6 linked regions of the Ovis aries genome follow. The protein of the gene in region 3 binds, or shares a complex with, the protein of the main gene of each other region. Links are inferred from orthologs where the notes say so. Each region holds a gene or a part of one and is shown on either strand. Other genes may lie near its edges. The genes, in order: SOS1, MAPKAP1, KRAS, PLAAT3, RGL2 and RGL1.

What was found.
Region 1: the proteins of KRAS (region 3) and SOS1 are in contact, whole or in part, in a crystal structure (PDB 8BE4), measured with the Homo sapiens proteins. The link is inferred for Ovis aries from reciprocal best matches to the Homo sapiens genes KRAS and SOS1. Residues at the interface, in NP_001356715.1 of Homo sapiens: Ser17, Ala18, Ile21, Gln25, Asp30, Glu31, Tyr32, Pro34, Thr35, Glu37, Tyr40, Asp54, Ile55, Leu56, Asp57, Thr58, Ala59, Gly60, Gln61, Glu63, Tyr64, Ser65, Ala66, Met67, Arg68, Asp69, Gln70, Tyr71, Arg73, His95; in NP_005624.2 of Homo sapiens: Lys602, Trp809, Thr810, Lys814, Leu822, Met824, Ile825, Arg826, Thr828, Thr829, Thr832, Leu833, Leu872, Val875, Ser876, Asn879, Ser880, Ser881, Pro882, Tyr884, Ser908, Asp910, His911, Tyr912, Lys913, Phe929, Phe930, Gly931, Ile932, Leu934.
Region 2: the proteins of KRAS (region 3) and MAPKAP1 are in contact, whole or in part, in a crystal structure (PDB 7LC1), measured with the Homo sapiens proteins. The link is inferred for Ovis aries from reciprocal best matches to the Homo sapiens genes KRAS and MAPKAP1. Residues at the interface, in NP_001356715.1 of Homo sapiens: Ile21, His27, Val29, Glu31, Asp33, Pro34, Ile36, Glu37, Asp38, Ser39, Tyr40, Arg41, Leu56, Glu62, Glu63, Tyr64, Ser65, Ala66, Met67, Asp69, Gln70; in NP_001006618.1 of Homo sapiens: Phe280, His287, Gly288, Phe289, Ser290, Leu291, Ile292, Gln293, Lys307, Lys310, Arg311, Arg312, Lys313, Gly314, Ser315, Phe363, Glu365, Ile369, Val374, Met377, Leu378, Ser380, His381, Tyr484, Glu487, Ser488.
Region 4: the proteins of KRAS (region 3) and PLAAT3 are in contact, whole or in part, in a crystal structure (PDB 7C41), measured with the Homo sapiens proteins. The link is inferred for Ovis aries from reciprocal best matches to the Homo sapiens genes KRAS and PLAAT3. Residues at the interface, in NP_001356715.1 of Homo sapiens: Ala11, Gly13, Lys16, Ser17, Tyr32, Asp33, Pro34, Thr35, Ile36, Thr58, Ala59, Gly60, Gln61, Asn85, Asn86, Lys88, Asp92, Tyr96, Lys117; in NP_001121675.1 of Homo sapiens: Leu65, Tyr66, Asp67, Val68, Ala69, Gly70, Ser71, Asp72, Lys73, Tyr74.
Region 5: the proteins of KRAS (region 3) and RGL2 are in contact, whole or in part, in a crystal structure (PDB 8B69), measured with the Homo sapiens proteins. The link is inferred for Ovis aries from reciprocal best matches to the Homo sapiens genes KRAS and RGL2. Residues at the interface, in NP_001356715.1 of Homo sapiens: Ile24, Gln25, His27, Val29, Glu31, Asp33, Pro34, Thr35, Ile36, Glu37, Asp38, Ser39, Tyr40, Arg41, Lys42, Tyr64; in NP_004752.1 of Homo sapiens: Ile651, Arg653, Glu660, Asp661, Gly662, Ser663, Val664, Tyr665, Lys666, Ser667, Ile668, Leu669, Lys685, Lys686, Asn688, Arg689.
Region 6: the proteins of KRAS (region 3) and RGL1 are in contact, whole or in part, in a crystal structure (PDB 7SCX), measured with the Homo sapiens proteins. The link is inferred for Ovis aries from reciprocal best matches to the Homo sapiens genes KRAS and RGL1. Residues at the interface, in NP_001356715.1 of Homo sapiens: Ile24, Gln25, Glu31, Asp33, Pro34, Thr35, Ile36, Glu37, Asp38, Ser39, Tyr40, Arg41, Leu56, Tyr64, Met67; in NP_001284600.1 of Homo sapiens: Ile651, Arg653, Asn660, Gly661, Asn662, Met663, Tyr664, Lys665, Ser666, Ile667, Met668, Lys685, Asn687.

What each region holds. Positions count from the first base shown.
Region 1 is NC_056056.1:85,200,159-85,203,658, reverse strand, and holds part of SOS1 (son of sevenless homolog 1), read right to left. Parts: intron 1,906-3,500; coding exon 1,787-1,905; intron 879-1,786; coding exon 387-878; 3' UTR 1-386.
Region 2 is NC_056056.1:10,388,016-10,392,236, reverse strand, and holds the start of MAPKAP1 (target of rapamycin complex 2 subunit MAPKAP1), read right to left. Parts: upstream 2,801-4,221; 5' UTR 2,555-2,800; exon of another isoform or gene 2,419-2,554; intron 1-2,418. UniProt on the Homo sapiens protein: Component of the mechanistic target of rapamycin complex 2 (mTORC2), which transduces signals from growth factors to pathways involved in proliferation, cytoskeletal organization, lipogenesis and anabolic output.
Region 3 is NC_056056.1:190,372,588-190,376,638, reverse strand, and holds the start of KRAS (GTPase KRas), read right to left. Parts: upstream 2,801-4,051; 5' UTR 2,728-2,800; exon of another isoform or gene 2,715-2,727; intron 1-2,714. UniProt on the Homo sapiens protein: Ras proteins bind GDP/GTP and possess intrinsic GTPase activity. Plays an important role in the regulation of cell proliferation.
Region 4 is NC_056074.1:38,443,914-38,447,907, forward strand, and holds the start of PLAAT3 (phospholipase A and acyltransferase 3), read right to left. Parts: upstream 2,801-3,994; 5' UTR 2,718-2,800; exon of another isoform or gene 2,624-2,717; intron 2,617-2,623; exon of another isoform or gene 2,423-2,616; intron 2,248-2,422; 5' UTR 2,185-2,247; coding exon 2,170-2,184; intron 1-2,169. UniProt on the Homo sapiens protein: Exhibits both phospholipase A1/2 and acyltransferase activities. Shows phospholipase A1 (PLA1) and A2 (PLA2) activity, catalyzing the calcium-independent release of fatty acids from the sn-1 or sn-2 position of glycerophospholipids.
Region 5 is NC_056073.1:7,623,825-7,627,798, forward strand, and holds the start of RGL2 (ral guanine nucleotide dissociation stimulator-like 2), read right to left. Parts: upstream 2,801-3,974; 5' UTR 2,786-2,800; coding exon 2,507-2,785; intron 2,156-2,506; exon of another isoform or gene 2,044-2,155; intron 1,848-2,043; exon of another isoform or gene 1,807-1,847; coding exon of another isoform or gene 1,648-1,806; exon of another isoform or gene 1,378-1,647; intron 1,228-1,377; exon of another isoform or gene 486-1,227; intron 389-485; coding exon 305-388; intron 48-304; coding exon 1-47. Other genes in the region: TAPBP (tapasin precursor), read right to left, coding at 3,968-3,974. UniProt on the Homo sapiens protein: Probable guanine nucleotide exchange factor. Putative effector of Ras and/or Rap. Associates with the GTP-bound form of Rap 1A and H-Ras in vitro.
Region 6 is NC_056065.1:64,267,797-64,272,068, reverse strand, and holds the start of RGL1 (ral guanine nucleotide dissociation stimulator-like 1), read right to left. Parts: upstream 2,801-4,272; 5' UTR 2,632-2,800; coding exon 2,605-2,631; intron 1,637-2,604; coding exon 1,526-1,636; intron 1-1,525. UniProt on the Homo sapiens protein: Probable guanine nucleotide exchange factor.

The sequences.
Region 1 (3,500 bases), about 110 Mb from region 3:
TTTAAGATTTCTTTTTAAAAAGTGCATAATATTTTGAATTACAAAAACTGTCATCATGTGGGCCTGCTGGATACTAGACTGTTTTCCATCCCTTTAATGATAAAGATCACTTCACAAAAAGAGGACTCCTGCTTACTGGCTGGCAAAAGGTTCCTTTACTTGATTTTCCGGTGAAATCAGTTGTCCACTTCCTCTAGATCAACTTTTCCATACTCACTTTATAATTATGTCCATGTTAAAATTCATTGTCTTATGACTGCATCTTGAAGTAGAGTCGTTAGTGTTTGGAGTTTTCATTTTAACTCCTCAGTGCTGGCACGTTCAGTGCATCCATCGCCAGCAATGGATCTGGGGCTAGGAAAATGTACATCCTGATCCAGAGGAACTCAGGAAGAATGGGCATTCTCCAACAGTGGTGGTCCATCTCTGTGCACGGACGGGTGGGTGTGCTCCCTTTTGTAAGTTTTTGGAGGGAGTTTAGGGATATGCTGAGAAGTGCTTTGTCGTGGAGGAACAGGCGGCCCAGCAATGGAATGGAGGTCCACTTCTTGTGTCAATGGTGGTGACGGCAGATGCCTTCTTGTTCCATGAGGAGAAGGTGTTTGAGGAGGAGGTGGTGTAAAGGGGGAGGGGCTGTTTGGGAAGAAGGCATTACTATGGTCACTTTTTTTGCCCAAAGGGGGAGGTTGGAGATGTAGTGGTGAACTTGAGAAAACATCAGGTGTCCTCACGGGTTCTCGTGGAGGTAATAGGGGAGGGCTCTCAGGAGGGTCTGATATAGAGGTCCGGTCTGATATTGAATACCGTGGTGAATAGGCTTTTGACGTGGGTTGCCTAGGAGGAATTGCTGGGGGGCTGTCCAAATGCTTAGACATCATCTAACATAAATGGGGAAAAAAAGACATTTATTAACAACATATGTAGCACCATGAATATACTAAGAATTAAGCTGGGTTTTCAAATACGTTATTGGAAGAACTCTAGGTGTGGATCAGGGAGTTTTGCCATATGCTTTAAATTGGAGGTTATGGCAGTTCATCCATTAAAAAAATTATTTTTCCTTCAATGTTAAGTTTTTATTCTTCTCAAAATTTTGTTTGCTGCTGCTTACCTATCACTCAATCTAATATAAAATCATTTCAATTTAGCATGTTACCTATCAATTTTATAATGTTAAATTTACTATAATAGCATTTCATGGTATTCTGCAAAGAGTTTTCCCCTGCCTAGGTGCTCTGCTCTCTGGACACTTTGATACCACCGAATCATGTTAACAAGTTGGCAAAGAAAGAAATTTAAACAGGTAGGAAAAAAATAGCTATTATGAGCTGTTAAGGTCTCTTCTGACCTGGAATTTTCATGAAAATCCCACAGCCTGTCAAATTCACCTGTTACAGGCTTAGATATGTAACATTTAGCACTGAGATACAGTTTCATTTAAAACGTGCCTTCATATACAGCTTCAGATCTCTTTCTATCTTTTTACAGAACTGCTTGAGACTACATTACTCTTAAATTATAGGTTAAACTTGTGGGGTTTTTTTTTGACAGTACCCATATTTAGATTTATAAGTATTTTGAAAACCTACCAGAAAACTGCTTTCAGAAGAAAGGAAATAAACATTACTGAATGGTAAACCCATACTTAATTCTGGTTTAAACTCTATTAAGCCCCAGTACCCTGAGTATTAACCTCATTCCGTTAGAACTCAATGAGAGATGAGCACTTGATTATAATGGAACTGCAATGATTCCAGTCTCCAGATAACCAGATGTTCTACTTTACCTTAGATGGTGAAGATTCTGCTGGGGCAGACTCTGGCCGTCTTCGTGGAGGAACAGGAGGGGGGACAGGCACTTCATCAGTGCTCTTGGTTAAACTTATAGATGATACTGAAGCAGATCCTGTAGGATGGTACAATTTTGAAAAGCTCACAGGAATTTTATATCATCAATCCTGCTTATATTTATTAAAAGAAATGTACAGAAGTATCAAAAGCAGTACAATAAAGCAACACCCAACAGTACTTCCTTTATTAAAGCAAACTGCTATAAAAGCATGCAGAAATTTCTCAGCAGAGTTTTCAGAGAAAAAGCTGTCTAAGTTATTCTGTTGTTACACTTCTTGAAGAAAGTAACATTTCCATTGTTAATCTATTACTGGAATTTTCTGGGAGAGAGCAAACTATTAAAAACTTTTGGAATGGTAATTTTTGTTAACCTTTTATGATGGGTTCATTTCCCACCCCGCCCCCACCACGACTGTAGTAGTATGGAATTTCCTTGCCTTCACTGGATAGTCTTTGGGAATACTTTCTGTTCTTAACCACTCTCTCCAATGTCTCTCCCTGCCATCCTGTCCTGGGGAGGGATCTCTTCAGTTTGCTTAGGTATCAGCTCTCCTTGGTGGGGAAGCAAAGTCAGGTTCATCACATTCTAATCCAAAATTTTTCATTGTGATGAACACATTTAAAATGACTGAGGCTATGCTGATAATAAAAACAGAAATTACACTAGAATCTAGTGAACCTGATTTAGGAGTAAACTGATGAACTGGCACTAAAAAGGTAAGTAAAAGCCTCTAATTGTAACCTATCTTACAAACATTTATGATAAGGGCTTAATATAGGCATATAAATAACTACACTTTGAAAAACATTAATGTAAGTTAACCTGTACATCAGCACAATGAAAAAGATGTGAAAAAACACTTAAATGATCATTCAAAATTGTATTTGGCAGGTTTTCTTTCCTTTAAACACTGACAGTTTAAATTTTGTCAATTAAATGTTATAAGATAGAACTTAGAGTACTTTGTGTATTGATATTATTTAAATAAGCAACATTCTGATCACCTACCTTTCTTCTTATGAAACTTTGTAAGTTAGCTTATAACACTATTTTCCATTGCATACATTCTGAAATCATTTGTATGAAGGACAGCAAAAAACAATCTATTGGCTTAAAATTTATGGGATAGTTGGTGAGTTGTTAGTACTTTAAAAACAAATACCTACACTGGAACTTTATTTTGCTTGTCAGTGATGAATATTTAGGTTGTATAATACAGATAGTCACAGTGATAAGACAGCTGTTCTAAAGTCAAATAAGTCATTTGCCTACAGCCTGTGCTGTCCCCAGCCTAAGTGTATTGTGTGACTTAAGACACTGCATGTAGCTGCCAACATTCCCATATGCGCATGCATGCTCTTGCCTTTTTTTTTTTTAAGTTGGGCATTAGAACTCCAAAGTTGGAAATGAGAAATGGTTAAATGTGGAAGCCACCCATATAATAATGTTGTTTCAAAAGAGAAGAAAGGTTTTACAAAAAGCATGAGAATTATATAAGTTTAAGCAAATCATTTATGATCAAAAGATAGTACAAGTGAAGGCCTCACTTCTAAGATGCTGCAAAGCAAGGCACCAATGCTGCCAGACCCAAGACGAGTTTTAGCAGGGAAAGGTTACATTTGGTTTAATTTTTAAAGCCAAAGCAAAAA
Region 2 (4,221 bases), about 180 Mb from region 3:
CTACAGTCCATGGGGTCACAGAGAGTCATACACAACTGAGGGACTAACATACACACATCCCCACTCAAAGAAGCAAAGGCTTGCTTTATTCAGGCTGGTCTACTCACCACTCTAAAACCATGCCTCAGGCACTGCACCTTTACAGCTTAACAGCCACCATCTTAGGGAACCTTGCCACATACCAGGCACTTTATCCACATCAGCTCACATTACTCCGTGAAGTCTATCAGTCTCTATCTCAAACTATACTTGAAAGAAATAATGCTAAGAATTAAGAAACTTGCCAAAGGTCACATAGCTATTAAGAGGAGGGACCAAGAATTGAAGTCAGAGTCCATGGCTATTCTCTACAGAATGTTCGGTCCACTCATATCCAAAGCTAGGCTGACCCACATACTACCATCTTGCCTTGGAAGGTTATGGTCTTCTCTACATTTAAAGAACTATCTGCACCATTCATTTTGACACATATTTTCTTCTCTGAATAGTTGCTTCAATATGTATTTGCATACAGAGAGCTACGGTGTGAGAAAAGAAAAAACACATAAAAGGCACAGATATAGGCATAAGACACACGTGGGTCTGCATCCTGGTTCCGTCTCATACCAGGTGTGTAATTTATCCTGAGCCCTCCTGATCAGTGAACTGAAGTTAAAATAATTAAACAAAAGAAACCTAACATAATTTCTCCAATACCCCACACTGTGAAGCCTTATCAGGTCATTGTACATGCCTCAAAAGTGGATGACCTCTTCCCCTCCTGTACCACCACTGAATCACCGAAAGAACTCCAACCCAGTGTACATACCACTCTGTCAGAATTATTTCCTATCTTTTTCACTAAATTGAGCAGGCAAGAACTGAGTCTTGTTTCTCCCTATATGGTCTAGCATGGTACTTGATATATGTTGTTGTTTTTCAGTCACCCAGTCGTGTCTCTTTGCGACCCTATGAACTGCAGCATGCCAGGCCTCTCTGTCCCTGACGATCACCCACAGTTTGCCCAAGTTCAAGTCCACTGCATCAGTGATGCCATTCAAGCCATCTCATCCTCTGACATCCTCTTCTCCTGCCGTCAATCTTTCCCAGCATCAGCAACTTTTGCAATGAGTCAGCTGTTCACATCAGATGACCTCGAATGTATCCATACTCAATGTTTGCTAAGGGAATCAACTGGGTTGGCCAAAAAGTTCATTCAGGTTTTTCTGGACGATGGTACGAAAACCCAAACAAACTTTGTGGCCAAGCCCATAGAATAATGAGCATTTAAAGGATTCTAGAAAAGAAACCATTTCTAGCTGAGGTTGTGCTGAACTGCTTGAGGCAAGGCCAATTTCAGGTGGGCGCTGGGTAACACCAATAGATGGAAATAGGAAAGGAGAAATCTAGGCATAAAGAAAGTGCTAACAACAAAGGAAAGGACAAAGCCCATTCCAGGTCCTACTTATCTAGAGTGAAGAATCAGGGTAAGAGGCCTTTTGAAGCTTAGCTGGAAAGTTAGCCGGAGCCAGATCAGAAACCAGATCAGGAATCTGAATACCCTCCAGCATCACGGTAGATGAAAGTAAGTATGAGCATAAATCTGAAAGGGAAAGGAGCCACCAGCAAGTCTCACAGGCCCCAATAAGCCTACAAGTGTGTAAACTGAACAAGATGAAAACAAGTATCGATCCTTCATCAACAACCCTTCCAGCATTTACTGATCATCTTGTGTGAACTCACAGAATATGAAGAATAGAACATGGTGCCTCCTTTCCCTGCTGCTCTACATTAGGAATCCATCCCTTCTGCTTGTCAAAACAGAGTAAGAATGTTGACTTTACTTTAACTGATGTGTGTAAACACCTGTCTCCATTTGACTGTTCACACCTGAGGAAGTTTTGAACTTTGCTGCTTTTGGTTTACAACATGATGCTTTTGCACAGTACCAAGTATTGTGATAGGCTTCAAAAATCACTTCATTCAGAATGAAACCTGTGCCAATCTCTGAGTCAACTTTTGGGCCTCCGGTTAAAGTAATGCTTCTGTTTAAACTACAGTGATATTTTCTTTTCCAGCCTTAACCAGATCTAGAAGACTCTATGCCACTCCCATAAACAAAAGGCTGAATCAAAGTTCCAGCAGCACTCTGCCTATTAAAAAAAAAAAAACAGTTCTAAAAGGCTGTTTTACTCCTTTGGGGCAATGGAGATAAGGGGCGTTAGACAGGGAATGCACAAGCAATGATTTTAAAAACCTGATTTTCATGTTATGAAGATTAAGACACCGAGTAGAACCAGAAACTGTCAGTCAACAGTACCCTCCCCAAACCCCGATACTACCGAGTCCACTAGCTTCTCCTCCCCCAAATCACACTCCCAAGCTGTCAGATTCATAACAGCCTTCAGTTCTGGAAAGGGCCAGGAAACGGATGCTCACTGGATACTGGAGCAAGGGCCAGACAGGCTGTCCGCCCCGCGGCGGCGAGCGCGGAGAAGTGAGGAGGGAAGCCAGGCTCCTTCGGTGGGCTGGCGGGGGTGTGAGCGATGGAGCTAGCGGCTGGGGCAACCTTTACCTGAAGCTGCTGCCACACTACGGGCCGGGATGGCCTTGGGACACGTTCCTGGGGGGAGGGCCCGGCTCCCCCGCGCCCCCCGGTCCCTGCCCCAGCTCCGCACTCTCGGAATCCTCAGGGACTGGCGCTCCTCCCGGCCGGCTCACCAGCCGCTTTCCGGACTCGCCCTCATACCCCTGCCGCTCGCTGCCGCTGGCCGGCCAAGCAGCAGCCCCGTTGCCCCGAGCCGCGCCACGACCCGGAACCGCACCCCGCGCACCGGAAGTCCCCGACTGGGAAGCAGCCGTTGGCTGGGGACGTAGTGCGCAAGCCCCAGAGCCGAGAGCGGGCTGGGAAGCCCTCCCGGGAGGCGGGGCCGAACGGGACGCCGTGCGCGCGCACCACTTCCCCGCCCCCAGGCAAGGCCTGGGTCAGAGATTAGCTGGGATACTGGCAAAACACGGAGACTTCGAGGTTTGCGTTGTTTAGAAATCCACGTCAGCCTTCTCCGTCGAACCTCCTCCTCTCTCCCCACGTCCACGGAGAAAAGCCCTCAGTTCTTTCAGAAATGAGCGATGAGGAGCTTAGTTTCTTGAATCAGGAAGAGCTGGTTCAAATGCCCGCTCTAACTTGCTGTGTGTCCTAGGACAAAACACTCCCTTCTCTGACCCATCCATCGAGTAGTTCCAAATTTAGAGTACTGCTGTGAGAATCGAGTGGGATGATGCTCTAAAAACACTCGGCACAGTGCCCAACACTTAATAAACTTAGTAAATGTTAGTCATTATTCTTATTTTCTGTAAAATGAAGGTAATTATCATCCCAGGAATTCAGGGAGTTCCATGAGATGTGTGGACCCGCCCCAAACAGGAACTCATTATTCCCCCTCTTTCTGTCTTCAGGGAATCAGTGGGGACGCTACTACTAAGGGGAAAGCAGTGCAATGATATGATACCTCTCCTATCTGAGAGATGATCTGGAAAGTCTCTCTTAAAAATGCACCTTAGCAAAAGAAAGAAAAAAACAAGTCTGAATTTCACCTCGGGGGGACCTTAGCGGGCATGCATGCACGCTCAGTAATGTCAGACTCTGGGATCCCAAGGACTGCAGCCCTCTAGGCTCCTGTGTCCATGGGATTTTCCAGGCAAGGGTACTGTGCTGCTGCTGCTAAGTCACTTCAGTCGTGTCCGACTCTGTGTGATCCCATGGATGGCAGCCCACCAGGCTCCCCCATCCCTGGGATTCTCCAAGCAAGAACACTGGAATGGGTTGCCATTTCCTTCTCCAATGCATGAAAGTGTAAAGTAAAAGGGAAGTAGCTCAGTCTCTGTCCATGGGATTTTCCAGGCAAGGGTACTGTATTGGGTTGCTATTTCCTCCTCCAGGGATCTTCCCAACCCAGAGATCCAACATGCCTCTCCTGCATTGGCAGGCAGATCCTTTACCACTCCCACCTGCTGCTGCTGCTACTGCTGCTGCTGCTGCTGCTGCTGCTAAGTCACTTCAGTCGTGTCCGACTCTGTGTGACCCCATAAGATGGCAGTCCACCAGCCTCCCCCGTCCCTGGGATTCTCCAGGCAAGAATACTGGAGTGGGTTGCCGTTTCCTTCTCCAATGCATGAAAGTGAAAAGTGAAAGTGAAGTTGCTCAGTCCTGTCCAACTCTCAGCAACCCCATGGACTGCAGCC
Region 3 (4,051 bases):
TTCAAGAATGTACTACACGGTAAGTAGTTCCAGATTAATGAAAGTGCAGATATACTATACAACATCATACACATGCAGCATCCCATTTACTGAAGACCAAGAATCTTCCCAGTACGCACCCCACCACCCCACCACATCCTTGCTCTGGCTCTACTTCCTGAACCCATTCCCAAAGAGCAGACAGGCCCAGCAACTGCTGTATCACAGTTCCTCATGGGCCTGCTCTGTGCCACCCAGGCTTGTCTAGGGCCACCGCCAACATGCATTATGTCCTGTTTTGCTCCCTCTTTTCATTCCTAATATTGGCATTAGCAAATGTGATAGGTGAGGATAATCACACCAAAACATATCCTCTAGTTCCCTGCCACCCCACCCCTCCAATAAAATCTGGATAGCCTAGAAGAGTAGTTCTTAAAATGTGGTATAGGAACCCACCAGGGTTCCCAAGACTTTTGGAGAGGGTCCAAGAGGTAAAACCTGGTTTGATGATAATGGTATGAGGTGATGTACCCTTCCCACTCTTATTCTTTCACAAGTATATACAGTAGAATTTTCCAGACCTGTGATCACAATACATTGACTATAGAAGCAGCTATGAGGATCCAGCTATCTTCTACGAAGCCATACAATTAGAGAGATTAGTGAAAGTGTGAAACAATGCCACTCTTCTCGCTAACTGTTGCATTTGTTTTGGAAAACAGTTACTTTTCATTAAATATTCTATTTCTGTTACCAAGTAAAGGGCTAATTATTTCTTTTTAAAATGAATTAATAGTTTAATTCTCCATTCTAATTTCTGTTGTGGCAATACTGACACACTCCACATTGGGATCTTCAGTAATTTTGAAGAGTCCTTATGGCCAGTAAGTGAGCCAGTCTAGGGGAGACTGTGGACAAATACTGGATTAGTGCTTAGCTTGCAGATACACATGTGAATTCTCAACACCACACACTTTCTGGTCTACTTTTTTATGCAGTGGTTATTTCTGAAAAAAATCTTTCACTTGGATTTCAAAAATCAAGTTTCTTTAATCCACTAGAGAGAAATGGGTTGCCATGGAAAATCACAGGCCAAAGGAGTTCTCCGTGTCCAAAGCTACATAAGCTAGTAAGGGGTGGAACTGGGACCAGAACTGAGCATTTCATTCAGGCAAAAAATGTTCATTTTTTTGACCATTAAAAAAAATGAATTATCACTTCATCTACTGTCTCTTAAAACCAGGAATGCCTGTGGACGGATACAGTCTAAGGTAAACAGTACTGCTATCAACCATTTTTGACGTCTCTAGTCCACTACACATTCGAGTCAGCATTTTGGACCTTAGTCACCTAAGAATGACATCACTCATAAGGTTGATTCTGAGATGATGACTATGAACAGAATTTTTTCCCTTTGTAATTTCTTTTGAACAATTTTTTCTTTCATTACAAATGTAACATGTATAGTAAGTAAAAACTAGAAAATGCGTTTTTGTTCTTAACCACTCGTTTTGGTGGATATCAAGATTTAAGAAGGCCAGTTTAGGACTTCACCTGCACCAATGCACATGCCTCAGAGTATTTCAGGCACTTGGCTGGCAGATTGCTACAATTAACTTCTCTTGTAGGTCGCTTTTGGAAAAAAAAAAAAAAAAAAGGCCTGGGAACCGTTTAGGAGTACTGTAATAACTCCTGGGCTGGGGGTCCAATTTGTACGCATAAGGGTAATACAGAAGGCATGGGGGAAAGGAAAACAGGCAAATTAAACTTCACGTGCAATTTTAACTACCGCTGTTCACACTCAACTAGCAGGGAAAGAGCCCTGCTTCTGCCGTGCGGGTTTGCTGTGTGTGTTTTAACTTGACAAAGCAAAGCAGACCTTCTGGGATTAACTTTTTCCTTTACACGAAGTCCAGGCTTTACGTTGCAGGGTGTTGGCCACCTGTTCTTTCACCACCATCTCTACCTCCACCACCTCCTTTGTGGCCACAGCAATGTCACAGCCCATACGGGGGGGAGGGGAGCCGTCAGGAACTCGGCTGCAGATGCATTTTTTCCAAACACAATAACCTCCATCAGTGGTCTCTAAGCACTTTCCCCTGCGCTTCCAAAAGGCGACCTCACCTCTTAACTCTTCTATCCGCCCTACACACTGAAAAAGGACCACAAGCCGTCCAGTCTGCGCTTGGGGGAGAAGTTTATACCTTCGTCCCAGAGATGAGAGATGCAGCAGAGAAGGCAGCAACCGAGGCAGCCCAGTACTAGGAAGGGAAGAAGAGGTGCGGGAGCGGAGAGGAGGGTGAGGGAAGGACGGCGAGGGGGAGGGGAGGCTGGAGCGCCGCGGGAGTAACCTCCACCGCACCCGACCGCCCAGAGGGGCGGCCCGCCCGGCCCGCGAGTTTCTCCCCGGCCGCCTCCAGCCGCGGCTCTCGGGAGGAGGAAGGAAGGGGTTCCCCGTCCAGGAAGCAGCCCCAGCGGCGGCCGCCTCCAGCCTCACCCTCCTCAGCCCCGCACCGCCCATTCCTCATTCCCCGCGTCGCCGCGTCTCCCCCTGCAGACCGCCCCCCCAACCGGCCCCGTCCGCCCGGCGGCCCGCCCGCCCAGGCCCCGCACCCGCGCCCCCTTCCCGCCCCTCCAGGGACCCCTAATTCATTCACTCGCCGCCGGCCCCGCCCGGCGCCGGCGAGGAGGGTCGGGACCCCGGCAGGAGCCGCGAGGGGTGGTCCGCTCTGTACCTCTCTCCCGCACCTGGGAGCCGCCGAGCCTCTGGCCCCCGCCGCTGCCTTCAGTGCCTGCGCCGCGCTCGCTCCCAGTCCGAAATGGCGGGGGCCGGGAGTACTGGCCGAACCGCCACCGCCACCGAAGCCGCCGCCGCCACCGCCGCCGCCGCTGTGCCTCCGCCGCCGCGGCCGCCGCCTAGGAAAATCGAGCTCCGAGCGCACCGATGAGTTCGGGGCCGGGCGGCCGCAGAGGGCAGAGCTATCGATGCGCTCGGCGCTCGATTCCTCTCCAGACGGGAGTGCGGCTGAGGGCGATGTGGGAAGAGGGAAGAGCGAGCCTGCTAGCGCCGCCGGGAAGAGGGAGGGGGGCCGGCCCGGGCCGGGGAGGGGGCGGACCAGGCCGGCGGAGGAGGAGCGGGGGCCGGCGCGGCGGAGGAAGCGGGCGGCTGGGGCCGTGGAGGGTGGGGACGCGCGGCCGGCGTAGTGGCAGAGAGGTTGGCTCTGGGAGGTGCCTCGGCGCGCGCGGGTGGGGGCGCCGGCGGATCCACGCGGGGCCCGCCCCCAGGCTCCAGCCGCAGGGCAGGCCAAGAGCCGCAGCCTCGGACCCCGGCCGGCGCGGGCTCGGTACCCCGGCGATGCCGAGGCCAGCGCCGCCCTGCTGTCGGGGCCACACGGTGGAGCTGCGAAAATCCCGCCACCCATGGGGTCGGCCTGCACTTGGGTACATTCATTTACAATCATTTATTGCAAGTGAATAAACATGCAGTCACCCAAAGTAGGAGGCAACTTGGGGGACCTCGGAAGAGACCTGGCCGCCAGTTCCCTGGCCCGGAGCTTTCTGAGCACACCTGGATGATTACCAGTCTCCACAATCGGGGGCTGAGAGCTAGCCCCAAGCCCAGACAAACGCGACAAAATCTTTCACCACTAATTAAGCGGGGGGCGGGGGGGTGGAGGGAGCGGCGGATCTGTTGTTTTCTGTTGTTATTTTTATGTATATTTCGAAGCCATCGCGGGTCACTCAAAACGGCGACCTCAGATATACCTATGGCACCTGACAGTACAAGCAGACGACAGACTATTTTTAAATAGAAGTGCCCTTAATAGTCTAGACTTGAGGAGAATCATTCAAACATTAATTAGAAGACAGATTAATCAGTTAACGTTCGGGGAGTTAGCACGTTAAACAATGAAACAATTAAACATAACTCTAGTATGCCCAGAGTCTGCGTTGATAAACTATCTATAAAGGTTTGGGGGAGTGTTTTTTTAAAATTGAGGCCTGGCAGACTGGCGCTTATACCTAGTAGGACCACCCATCTGAGTCTCTGCTCATAGGTCTGTCCTTCTAA
Region 4 (3,994 bases), on a different chromosome or scaffold from region 3:
TAACCTCCAACACACACAGACTCAGCTCCATGTGTCTGCTCCAACAGTAAGTTCTGAATGGCTCAGAATGGTTCAAGTTCACTTTCAGGACAGTTTGGGCTACCAATCCCTCTCTACATTTTCCTGTGTTTAAACAGAAGACAAGCGTCTGCGCTCCCAGCACCAGAAGAAAAGAGACTAAAAGAGAAGTGTCTGAAAGTCTGAATCAATTTCACTGGGAACTAAACTCTCATTCTAAAGCAATGGACTAAATAAATGTCAAAGTTCACCATCATTCAGCCATTTTCTCTGATTTTTGCCAAAGAAGAAAAACTGGGGAGAGTTTTACCAAATAAAAAATTATGATGGATTTTCTGGTGAAGATGTTTTAGTCAAAATGTTTTAAATGTGGATATATTTAAAAGCCACTAGAATGGATAAACAACGAAGTCCTACTGTATAGCACAGGGAACTATAGTTAATATCCTGTGATAGGTTATAATGGAAAAGAACATTAAAAAGAATATATGTGTGTATATGTATATAACTGAATCACTGTATTGTACAACAGAAATTAACACATTATAAATCAACTATACTCCAATAAAATCAATTTTAAAAAGAAAAATAAAAAAATCAGAAATTCTCTAGCAGTCCAGTGCTTAGGACTCTCTGATCTCACTGCCTAAAGCCTGAGTTCTACCCCTGGTCAGGGAACTGAATCCCGCAAGCTGAACGGCACAGACAAAAAACAAACAAACCAAAAACCTAGAGATCAACAAACATAAATTAAAAATAAAAGCCACTAGAATTAATTTTTTAAGACATAGGCAGCATTGCAGTTTCTGGAATTTATTACAAAATGGGATTTTTATTAATCTCTGGCAAACCGATTCTAATGTTTAAGGCTTTTCCTATTTGTATATCTGTTGTTTCATATGAGAGAAGCTTTTGAAATTAATAAAAAGTGTTCTTCAATCAACTGTGAGCCAAGACAGATTGACAAGTCTGCCTCTACTGAGAGTTGCATATGCAAAGAAGATCAGTTTTGTCAAAGTCAAGGACAACTTTTCAGAAGAAGTTCCAAAACAGAAACTATAATGTTGTCATTATTCATGAGTATAACCAACCTAACTTTAAGAACAAGTTTTCTTCTAAATTACATTAATGCAACTAAAAACTATTAACCCATTACCCATTCTTCTATTAACTATTAACCCGTTCTTCTCTATAACATCTACCCTACTTTTCAATTTTTATTTTTCCACTGGCGTGATTTCATATACAAAGCTCAACAGAAGCAACTTTACTGTGTTTCTTTTCCGGCCATTACTAAATATTTATTTCATGATTATTACTGAAAACAATGTTGTTAGATAACGAAGAGGGATGTTTTTAAATGACCACTCCCGGCATCAAATATGCCAGGTACACCCTAATACCAGGCATGCCTTAAGCTCTTTACACGGATTAAACCATAATCATAATCAGAACAATGAATTACAGGTGAGCACTTAATATGCGTGCAAAGCACGTTCTGAGCACTTCAGAAGTATTAAGTCACATAATCGTCACTCTGGGACTGGAAACGTGATCAACGTGCCACAGCTAGGGAACAGGATGGTGAACATGATCCCAGGGGTGTCTTCCTCAAAAGCCGGGCTCAGAACCTCTCCGCAGAGGGTCCTGATCGGTTGAAAGGAAGCATGTACTAAGCCCCTTTATGATTTCTGAACCACATCACAGATTAGAGATAGGAAAAGTGAAAGTTGGGAAACTGCTGGCAGGGCGCCGCTGAGGCCAGAAAAATGCCCCTGTGGTTAAACCCAGGCGGTGGGGGCGGGGTGGGTGCAGCAGGTGCAGCCAAGACATGCTGCTCCAGGAGCCCCTCCAGGTGCTCTGGTCTGACTCAGGAAGGCAGACAGGACCTTGGCGGAGCAAGTCTCTCCTTGCTGCCTCCCAGCTCCGGTTGGCCCTGCCTTCCCCGGCTCCTGTTTCAGGCAAACAGGACCTGACCATACAAGTACTCACACTAGGACAATTCTAACCACTGACCGTCTCACGCCTGATGCCCACCTCACCGGCCAATGGAGGTGTGGCCCGAACATCCTCAAGGACCCCTTCTCTGATGACTCAGACCGACCCAGACACGGCCCCCACCCCCAGCCCACGCACAGCCGCATTACTTACAAAGGGTGCACGCATCTTCTTGGGTGATGGCGGCCCTCGATTTCAGGCTGGAGTTGACTTTATCAGCTGTGTAAATGCCTGAGGCAGGAGGGAGAGGGGAGTCACCGTCAGTAACAAGAAACCGTGTCCCCAAGACCCCAGGGGCCAGTGACTTCTGGCGGAGGAGACCGTGCCCAGTTGATCTCCAAATTCTCGCGCAACGACCGGCTCACTCCATTCCAGTTCCTTGCCGGTCCCCTCCCAACCCCTGCACCTGGCCATGAACCCTCGCAGGGCGGGCAGGAAGGTTCACCGGATACCGGAGAGGCTGGCGGTGCAGCGGCGGGGAGCGCGGTCGGTGTCACCTGCTCTGGCGGCCGCGCCCCAGAAAGTCCGCGGCGCCGCGCCCGCGCGGCCCTTCCTCCCGGCCGCTGCGCTCAGCTAAACCGAACTAACTTGTTTACTCCGGTCTCACCCAAGTCCTCCATCCCCCACACAGCCTGGGACACCGGGAGAGCCACCCCAAGCGTCTCACCCTCCTTACGAGCTGGGATTACTGCTCCACCCACCTCGCGAACTTAGAAGGCAGTAGCGGCCTCCACCAGGAAGGGAACCAGTTAAATGGCCGCAGAGTTCAGGCCCGCATGAGGTCACCCGGCCCCTCCCCGTGTGGCTGATTAGAGCCTCGCAGAGCTCACGCCCAGGGCGACAGGGACAGCCTGCTCCGGCCTCTGGGGCAGACAGGCCAGGATGCTTTCCGCTCACCGCGAACCCTCTCCACACACACTACCCTGAGAAGAGGAGCCCCGAAAACCCAGCTCGGGGCCACCCCCGCGCAATATTTTAAGATCTCGTATACCTATCTATAGAGAAGGCGATGGCACCCCACTCCAGTACTCTTGCCTGGAGAATCCCATGGACGGAGGAGCCTGGTAGGCTGCAGTCCATGGGGTCGCGAAGAGTCAGACACGACTGAGCGACTTCCCTTTCATTTTTCCCTTTCATGCATTGGAAAAGGAAATGGCAACCCACTCCAGTGTTCTTGCCTGGAGAATCCTAGGGATGGGGGAGCCTCGTGGGCTGCCGTCTATGGGGTCGCACAGAGTCAGACACGACTGAAGCAACTTAGCAGCAGCCGCAGCATACCTATCTATACATATCGCACTGCAGAGTAATCAGTTTGCTCATCCCCTCAAGTGGGCTTATCCTGTGGTTTAAAACTACCGCAGACCTCCGTTATCCACGAGTTCTCTATCTGCCCTCTGCTGGGTAAAAAAAAAAAAAAAAAAAAACAAGAAGAGACAGAACTATGGATAAGCTGAGATTATTTTAGGGTTCTGGACTTCCGGTTTGGGGCATTCCCTGGGGATCTGGGAACACATCCTCTTAGGATAAGGGGGCACTGTATATTAAATTTTAAGGCCATTTAAAGGCAAGGGCCTAGCAGAGAGGAAGTATTTTTAACTATTGGGTCCCAAGCCATCAGATGTCCCTCAAATCTGGCACCAACCTGGCACATGGTAGGCATTTCATGAATGAAGGAATGAATGACCAAACACAGGCCCTTCTTGTGCACTGGGCTGTGACTCTGCAGGGGTAAAAGTTGTTCTGGTATACCACTACTTCCTGACCCTTAGCTGCTCGCACTGAGCTTGGAATCAGGCCAAATCCTGAACCTGGCTACCTACAGGGTCAAGAGCACCCTTCCCTCTCTGAGCCTCAGTTTGTTCATCTGCAAACTGGAGTGCTGATGATATTGTACAATATGTAAGATAATGTATAAAAATATACACAGCATTGCTCTCAGACAGGCTTCTCAGGTGGCTCAAGTGGTAAAGAATCCACC
Region 5 (3,974 bases), on a different chromosome or scaffold from region 3:
GTGCCAGCTCGGAGTTTCCGGGAGGAACGCAGAGGAGGCCTTGGGGCCTGGGGGAGACAGAGCGCCAGCCACTGACCCTTTTTTCAACTTTCCCCCGCTAGATCTCTGGGAGAAATCCAAGACCTAGGAGATGATTCAGCCTCATTGTATTAGGATTCAGAGAGGGCAAACGACTCGAACTAAGTCACACAGCTGAGTCCAGTCTCCAAACTTCCAACCTAGTATTCTGGCCAGAAAGTCAGCAGGAGGCAGGGGAACTAGGAGGTGGTAGGTCAGAGGTGAGACGTCAAAGTTATAATCTCACCAAGGGATCAAGAGGCTGATACTGGCGACTTGTGACTGTAAAGGTAGCACCATCCTCCTCCTCCTCCCAGACAGACACAGGGGCCTGGAGGAGCAAGGAAGGGGAGGTCAGGTGGTTCCACACCCCACCCCACTGCCCAAGCCTCACCCCTAGGCCCTGCTCCTCCCTCTGTGCCCCTCACCTGTTGCGGAGGGGGACAGTACCAACGAGTACGAGGGGTGGGGGGGGGCTGGTGACCCCAGGTCTTCCCCACTGGGGCCCAGACAGCCCCCCCCAAGCCGCCTCAGGGCCCGGTGGAGTCTAAGGGGTTGCAGTGGGGAGTTGGATGGAATGCAGGAACCCTGAGCCTGGGGACCGCTGCAGCCCCTCCCCCCCAGAGCTGAACCGTGAACAGCCAAGAATCAAGGTGCAAAGGTAGGAGGAGGGGGAAGAAAGAGAGGAAGAAAGCCTGAGGCAGAGACCTTGAGAAGCTGAAACCTCAGTCACGGGCACAACCTCATGCTCCGCCCTCCCCCGCAGGAATTAGCCAAGCCCAAAGGGTAAGTCGCCTTAGCCCCCTTTCCCCGGGTCCCTCCTCAGCTCTGGAGACCCCCCTCAGGGCGGCGGCGCCGATCCCAATACAGGAAGGAGAAGGGGAAGTGGGGACGGTGTGTGTGTGTTGGAGCAGGGGGTGGTTTAGACTCACAGAGTCATGTGACCCCGGCCGCTCCCCCAACCGATCCCGAAAAACCAGCCCTGCTAGTCACCCAGTCAATCCTCACTCAGACTCTGGACAAGAGCGTCCAAAATCTCGGGGCCCCAAATCCAACTTTCGGCCCCTCTTGAGGCCCGAATCCTACTCCTGCCACGCCATTAGCCCCGAAGGGAAGCAGGTGACCACCAGCCACTCGGCCTGGGACGGCCCTCGACGGTCCGAGAGCCTCGGCTCCCCACCGCCGCCCAGCCCCAGGCGGCGGAGCGGGGAGGGGTCACGAAATAGAAGGGTTCCCTCCCCAATCCCGGAGTCTGAGGAGCGGGTTACTGTGGAAACAAACCCCTCCCTGCCAGACAGACACCCGGAGGGAGACAGGGACCTAGACTCCACGCCCGGAGGGACGGGCCACTCGGGCACGGGCGGAGAGGGCTAGGGACCCGCAGGCCGGCCAGCCACACGCGCCGGGCGGGAACGGGCCAGGCTCCTGAGTGTCGGTGCCGCACAGAACCTCGGACACGCCGGGGCTCCCCGCTGGGGGACACGGGCCGACTCCGGCGAGAGGCGCGGCAGGGGCTGAGGCAGGAAGACACGCAGGGACACAGACTCGCAGCGGGGAGAGTCTCCGGGACACACGCCGCCCGCGCCTCACCTCGTCGTCGTCGTCGTCCTCCTCCTCCTCCTGCCCCCCGCCCCCGCCCCGGCCACCGGGGCCCCCACCCTCTTCGGGGTCTCGACTCCGGAAGCTGCTCAGCACGACTCCCCCGGGGGGGCTCGTGTCCCACAGCAGCCGCAGGGGCCGCGGGAGCATGGCCGGCTGAAGGAGTCAGCGGGGTCGGGCCATGGGGGCGCCTGAGGAGAGACGAGCGGGGAGGGGGGTCAGGGGGGCGCGGGGCCCCAGAAGGCGGGCTCCAGGTAGTCTCCGGGGAGCCCCGCGGGGAGGCAGGGTCGGGGGCAACGCTGCAGGGGCACACGGGGCCTGGCGTTGTTGTGGACGGGGGTCGGGAGCACGGGCTCGGGCGGGGTTACAGGGGGCTCTGGCTCTGACCTGCTCAGGACGGGTGGGGGCAGCGCGGCTCCCGAGTTGCCGTTCCTGTCGGTCTCCGGCCCCCGATCACGTCCCCGGACCGAGCCCGTCCCCGGCTTTTCCGCACCCCCTTGTACGCCCCCCCCCCCCGCCCCGCCAGGCTCCCGGGCCCTCCCGCCCTTTCCGCTCCCCCCCGACGTCCGCCCGCCCCGAGAGCAGGAGCCAAAAAGGGAAGGAAGTGAGGACAGCAGCCAGGGCCGCGGACTTAGAGGAGCGCCGGACGCTTGGGGGCCGGGACCCAGGAGCCCGGGTCTCCAGCCCGACTGTGCTCGGGGATCCTGGAGCCCACGTTGCCCTGCGCTGAGTGGGGACAGGGATTCCCGTTTCCAGCCCCCGGGGAAGGGCGAGAGCCGAATCTGACATTCCGCTCCTCGCACACCGCGAGGCTAAAACTCCCGCAGGGAGCGTGTCACGGGGGACGGACCCAGTTTCTCCGGGCCGCGGGGGCTCCACTCCGCCCCCACCCACGCGTGTAGCGGACCAAAATCCGTTCCGGGTTTTCCGGGGAGCCCGGGGCTCCCACCGGCTCGGGAGTGGGCGGGGCAGGAAGCCGCCACTTCCGGTCCCAGAGCGCGCGCCGGGGGCTGTTTCCGGCGCCGAGGCCGGCCTCTCCGAAGCCTTGGACACCAGCGAGTGCCCGCGGCCTGAGGGCACGCTGTCGGCCGTGGGTGGCGCCCGGCTTCAGTCCCTTCCAAAGGGGCATCGGGTGCCGCCAAGGCGTTAGAGGCAGGGCCGTGAGAAGGAACCACGCGTGAGTGGAAGTGTCACAGCGCCTGGAAAGAGGGTCCCTGAGGTAGAACTGAGACGTCCCTTTGAAAACACTGGAACGAGTTTATTCCCACACGATTAGACCCGCACCCTGCGTCCGACCGACCTGGCCCTCGAAGGTCCCCCTCAGCCGAGCCGCTGCTTCCTTCTTCCAGTAGTTTATTTGATTCAACACATATTTTAATCTTTCGGACGAAAAAAGGGTAACTTCTTAAATTGAGCGCCCTCCAGCGGGCCCTGGTGCAGGCGCGGGAGACACCGCAGGGAAAGGACAGGGTCGTCCCAGCCTTCGAGGAGCCAACAGTCCGGGCAGGGAGGCAGGCTTTTAACAACGACTCGCACAATCACTTAAATACAACCGTGGTGAACCGCACTAGAGGGACACGCGGCGGTCTGAGGGGGCGAGGCTGACCTGGTCTGTAGCCCAGGCAGAGAGAACAACGCTCTGGGACCCAGAGGGAGTGGGAGGCCATTGGAGAAAAGGGTCAGCTTTAGGTGTAATGAGCATCGGGAAGGAGGGCGGGAGAGCGCTAAGCGGGCTTGAAAAGGTGCGCAGTGGCTGGAGCGCAGGGATGCACTGAGTCAGGGCAGGAAAAGAATGGATTTGGCCTTTAGAGCACCGGTTCCTGTCCCAGAGGTCCCTGAGACTATTTCAAGGGCTACGTGAGGTTTCGCCTATGTTCATAACAATCCTAAACTGGTACTTGCCTTTTCACTCTCGGTTCGCTAAAGAACCTACACTGGCGTTTTCCTGAAGCTACATGACGTGTACTGACATCGTCCCCACAGCTAACGGAACGTGTGCTTGTGTCTTTCTGTGTATTGTTCTCAGTTTTGAGAACAGTACAGTAAGTATCTGTGGCTTATAATCTACATAAGTGAAAGCTTTATAGAGTCCTTAATAATTTTTAAGAGATCCTGAGACCAAAAATTTTGAGAACCGCTGCTCTAGAGTCCTAAGGAGGTGACTGCCTAGTGTCTTTTCAGGAGGCATTCCAGTGGCTCAGTGGAGAGAGACTGGAGGGAGCAGGAACAGAGGGCATACAGTTTGGGGAGTTATTACAGTAGCTTAGACCGGAGAGGATGGTGGCTTCCCCAGGATGGTGCTGAGCTGGCCTCACTCT
Region 6 (4,272 bases), on a different chromosome or scaffold from region 3:
GAATCATTTTGAAATACTTGGGCCAAACCACATCAATACAGCATTTAAATAAAATGCAATACACGCAACCAACCACCAAAAATAAAGTGATGACTTGTCAGAACTCTAGTTCTGTTTTTCCTATCAGGTCTGCTGGTGATGCACCTAATTAATTCCAAAATCATATTCCGAGTAAGGTACCTGCTTAATAAGTGAAGACCTCAGGCTTTCAAAGGAAAAGCTCCTACCTTTCTAGGCCATATCTGCAGATGCACCTAACAACTGACTGCCCTAGAGGGTGGTACTTCAACCCCAAATACGCAGCCTGACTTGAAGCAGCTGGGGAAGCCCAAAGCAATGAATGCCTGTGTCAGCAACCCAGGAGACCCACGGAAGAGGAAATCATTGCTGTTGGCCATCCTGCCTTAAACTCCAGGAATTACAAGTCACATGCTGCCTCTGGTCTTAAAGCCCTGGGCAGTTTTGTTTCCTGTCCTCTTTCGCACCTGACCTTTGACTGTTGATCAAATTTAAAAAAAAAAAAAGGATTTTCTGAAATCCAAAACCAGTAGAGATTGGATGCCAGTGCATAATCTTCACTGTTCTCAAGCCCATCAGCTGTGAGGCCTGAGTATGGCCAGAATAAGGCCCAGGGAAACCACACTCCGTCCCCTCTGTTCGGCTTACAGCTATCTTCTTTCTCAAGGCTCTCTGTCACCTCACTGTTCTCGGAGGATTCCTTCTACCTCCAGATGAAGAACTCCTTCGTTCTTCCACATGATGATGTCTGCCCAGGCTTCCCACAGCCCCTTTAGTTGGGATATGCTGAAGGATCCATTAATCAGATAATGAATTAATCAGATAATGAATCTGCTTATCCATTAAGCAGATAATGAATAACTCACATGCTCTCACCCAATGCTTTAAAATCTCAGCAGAGGGAGGTGGGGGATGTTGTTTATGGAAGCAGTGTTTCTCCAAAGCCCCATCCCTCCACGCACCGGACGCATAAAGTGGTGGACACTACATACCGTGTAAAGGATGTAACCGTGGGAAATGCGCCATCCCCCATAGGAGGCCGATTTGGAGTATCAGCGCCCCTGAGCATTCTGGGTACTTGGTCAAGGAACAGGAGTGGGAGAAGGGCTGTCAGGATCAAAAGCGGGGGAGACAAAGAGAAAAGGATGGCAGCGGGGCAAAACGGCTCTTGTCTGACTCGGTGCTATCTGCTGATCCTGTTAATCTATGTTACTTTCTGCCACTCCACCCTACTCTACTCTCCAAATACCTCAAGATGTTTCTAAGAGGTTCTGAATTATTGACAAACCTAAGGGAGACGCTTCGGCAAAGAATAAATACAAAACCAGACCGGTATGGCTAGTGCAAACACTTGCTCATTGGCAGTTTCCTTTTTAAGGCCAAAAGAGAAGAAATGGAGGGAAAAAAAAAAAAAAAAAAAAAACCTGCCTCTGCTAAATAATAATGATATTCACAGAGCAAGAGGCCCTGCAAGTCCAAGGCTCACAGTCTCCCCAGCTTTACTCACCCCGAGCCATCTCGCTCCTTTATTGGCAGCCTGTTGAATCTGGACTCTCTTGAGGGTGACATGGTAAACAGCTCCTTCCTCTACCTCTTCACCCCAGTCCTGAATCGAGCTCTGCCAGGAGACAGGACAAAGAAACAGAAAAAGTTGTTTGTTTGTCTGTTTTTTCCCTCTCCGCTAACCAATCTATCCCAGCTGCTTTGCTGCTTACAGCAGCACTCAGGGCATAAGATGGGCTGTTCAAAATAAATATTACAATCAGGGCAACATAAGACACACTGTGATAGAGGGAATACTGAGATTTTCTTGGCCCTCCAGCCCTTTGCTATGCTATCAAGAGCCCAGGACTTTTCCATTTAGTTATTTTTCCTAGGCTCCTTCACTATCTTAAATACCTTTTTAAAGTCTTTTTTTCTTTCTTAAAGAAACTGAAGTTTAGTCCTGGTTCACTTTTCCTCCTTAAATGAGAGGAAAAAGAATTCACTGGCAGAAAAAGTTTGTCTCTTTACAAGTGGCTCCGTTCTTGGAGCAAACTGCATTTTAAACTCTGCCACAAAAAAGTGTTTAAAATGCTAAGAGTGCTCGCTCCTTTGGAACGAAATGCTTCGCATGTCTTTTTTCTCCTCTTATTGTTTGGGAACCCAGAAAGTTAGCGGGAGGGAAAAAGTTTTTATTTCCGTCAAATAACCTGGCAAGTGCAGAAAAAAAGCAACACATCGGCTGCGTGCAGCGACCCCCTGGATTTCCCTAAACTTGAAGTTTGTGTTTAAAGAGCCGCTGGGACTCAGAGGCGCTCCGCGGTTCACCCAGACTCACAGACCTCTTGCCTGAAAAGTTTTTCTTTGCTGACATACATCAGCCCAGATACACCAAAGGCAACTGCTGAGAAAAATAAGTATGGTTTAAAGGGAGAAGACACGCAAAGAGGAAGGCGGAGAAAGCCGAGAGAGAAAGCTCTGAGCTCCAAAGTCTGGGATCGGATGGCTCCGTTCACTCCGAGGGAGTCCAAAACCCGCCCAGAGAAAGCGGGAGAAGATTCCCCACCAGAGCAGCGTCGGGAGAAGGCAAAGAGTTCTCGTTACCATTTTAGCTTGCCAAAGCAATTTCATTCTCAGTTTTCTCTCCGGTGTGTGGACGCGGCATGATGCACCCCGCTCCCAGGCGAACGCGATCCCCGCGCGTCTCCGCCGCGGCGCCTCCAAGCCCCGGCCCCGCGCGGCCGCCGCGCACGGAGCACAGACACGCGCCCGCCGCCGCCGGTGCGCGCGACTCGGCCACAAAGGGAGCGCGGCGAGCGAGGGCGCCGCAGACTCCTCCCCACGCCACCCCGCCGCTCCGTGATGTCAGGCTTTCCTGTTTGTGCTCGGGAGCACACTCTCCCTTTCTGAAATCCCGCGGATAAAGTTAGCACGCCGTGATTTCTCCAGCTCTGAATTCGATCGGCAGCCAGCCACCCTTGCTAGTGGATCAGGTTTTCCTGATTGGCCACCAGGTGCCCCCAAAAGATCCGGGTGTGGTATCGGGGATCTAAGTGTGTTTTTCCTTCCTTCGCTCAAAGAAATAAAGGGGGAAGCGGTGCAAAAAGGGATGGGAGGAGGGGGTCGGATAAACGTCTATTATCTGCTTGTTACCTATGGAATTTAGATTCAATAAGGGCGACCCCAGTGAGAACGGCAGTACTAGAAGCCAGCAAGCTTTTCATAAGGACACACAAAAAAAAAAAAAAAAAAAGAGAGAGAGAGAGAATTGGTCAGAGGGTATTCCAAAACCCACGCCCCAAGGATGCGCTTGTTCTGAACCAGCACACCACCAACAGGAAATGCCTCTGGACGTCTTTCTAGCCCCCCATAGTTTAAGGCTCATCAACTGTAACTGGCCACTGTGGCAGGGAAAGGGGCAAAGCAGGAGAGAGTTCTGCTGAGACTGACAGCGTGGAAATTGGGCCACCGGCGGCCCGGAGGTTCCGTGAGTCTTTGTGAGTCGTCACCATGGGTTGAGTTGTCTGTACTGTAGGGACACCGTGGGATGATAACCTCGGGGAGAGAGCCATTCGGAGGACACTGCCGGAGGGAGTTTTGTCCTAACAGAAAGTAAATCAACAGCGAAATTCCAGATGATAATATAATCAAACATTGGCACATGACAGAATTCCATGCCAATTGCAAAAAAAAAAAAAAAAAAAAAGTTTAGCGCTCATGTCTTTTATACTGTTCTCCCCTAAATGAATTTAATAGCCTTTAAATTTTTTTTAAAAGAAAGGCCTCTCACTAATTGCCATGCCGAGGCATAAGGCTGGGCTTTGGTTAATAATAAATGTATTATGAACTGAAAAGCTAGAGAATTCAGTGTACTGGTGTTCCCAGGAAAGCAAAAATAAATGACAGTGAGGGTGCATCCAGGAAAAATAAAAAGATCTTTGGACACTTCAGAACTTCTTGAAGTCACTCAGCAAAGTTCCCCACAAACCACCACAAACTATTGGACAGAAGGGATGCTCTTTTTATCAAGCTTTGATTATTTCTATTTTTACGAAAGCATGTAAACTTGACCTTTCAATGACCACCAGCATAGCGTGTCCCCAGTGTCCAGCGGAAAATGGTGTGGAAGACCTACCACCTGCCTCTTAAGCCATTCCAGGAGCACCCCTATTCAGTGATCCTGAAGAACACAAGATAAACCTGGGGACAGTTAAACAACCCATCAGATTAATTTCACAACTACTTTAACCTGATTTTTGGCTGTGAATTTGG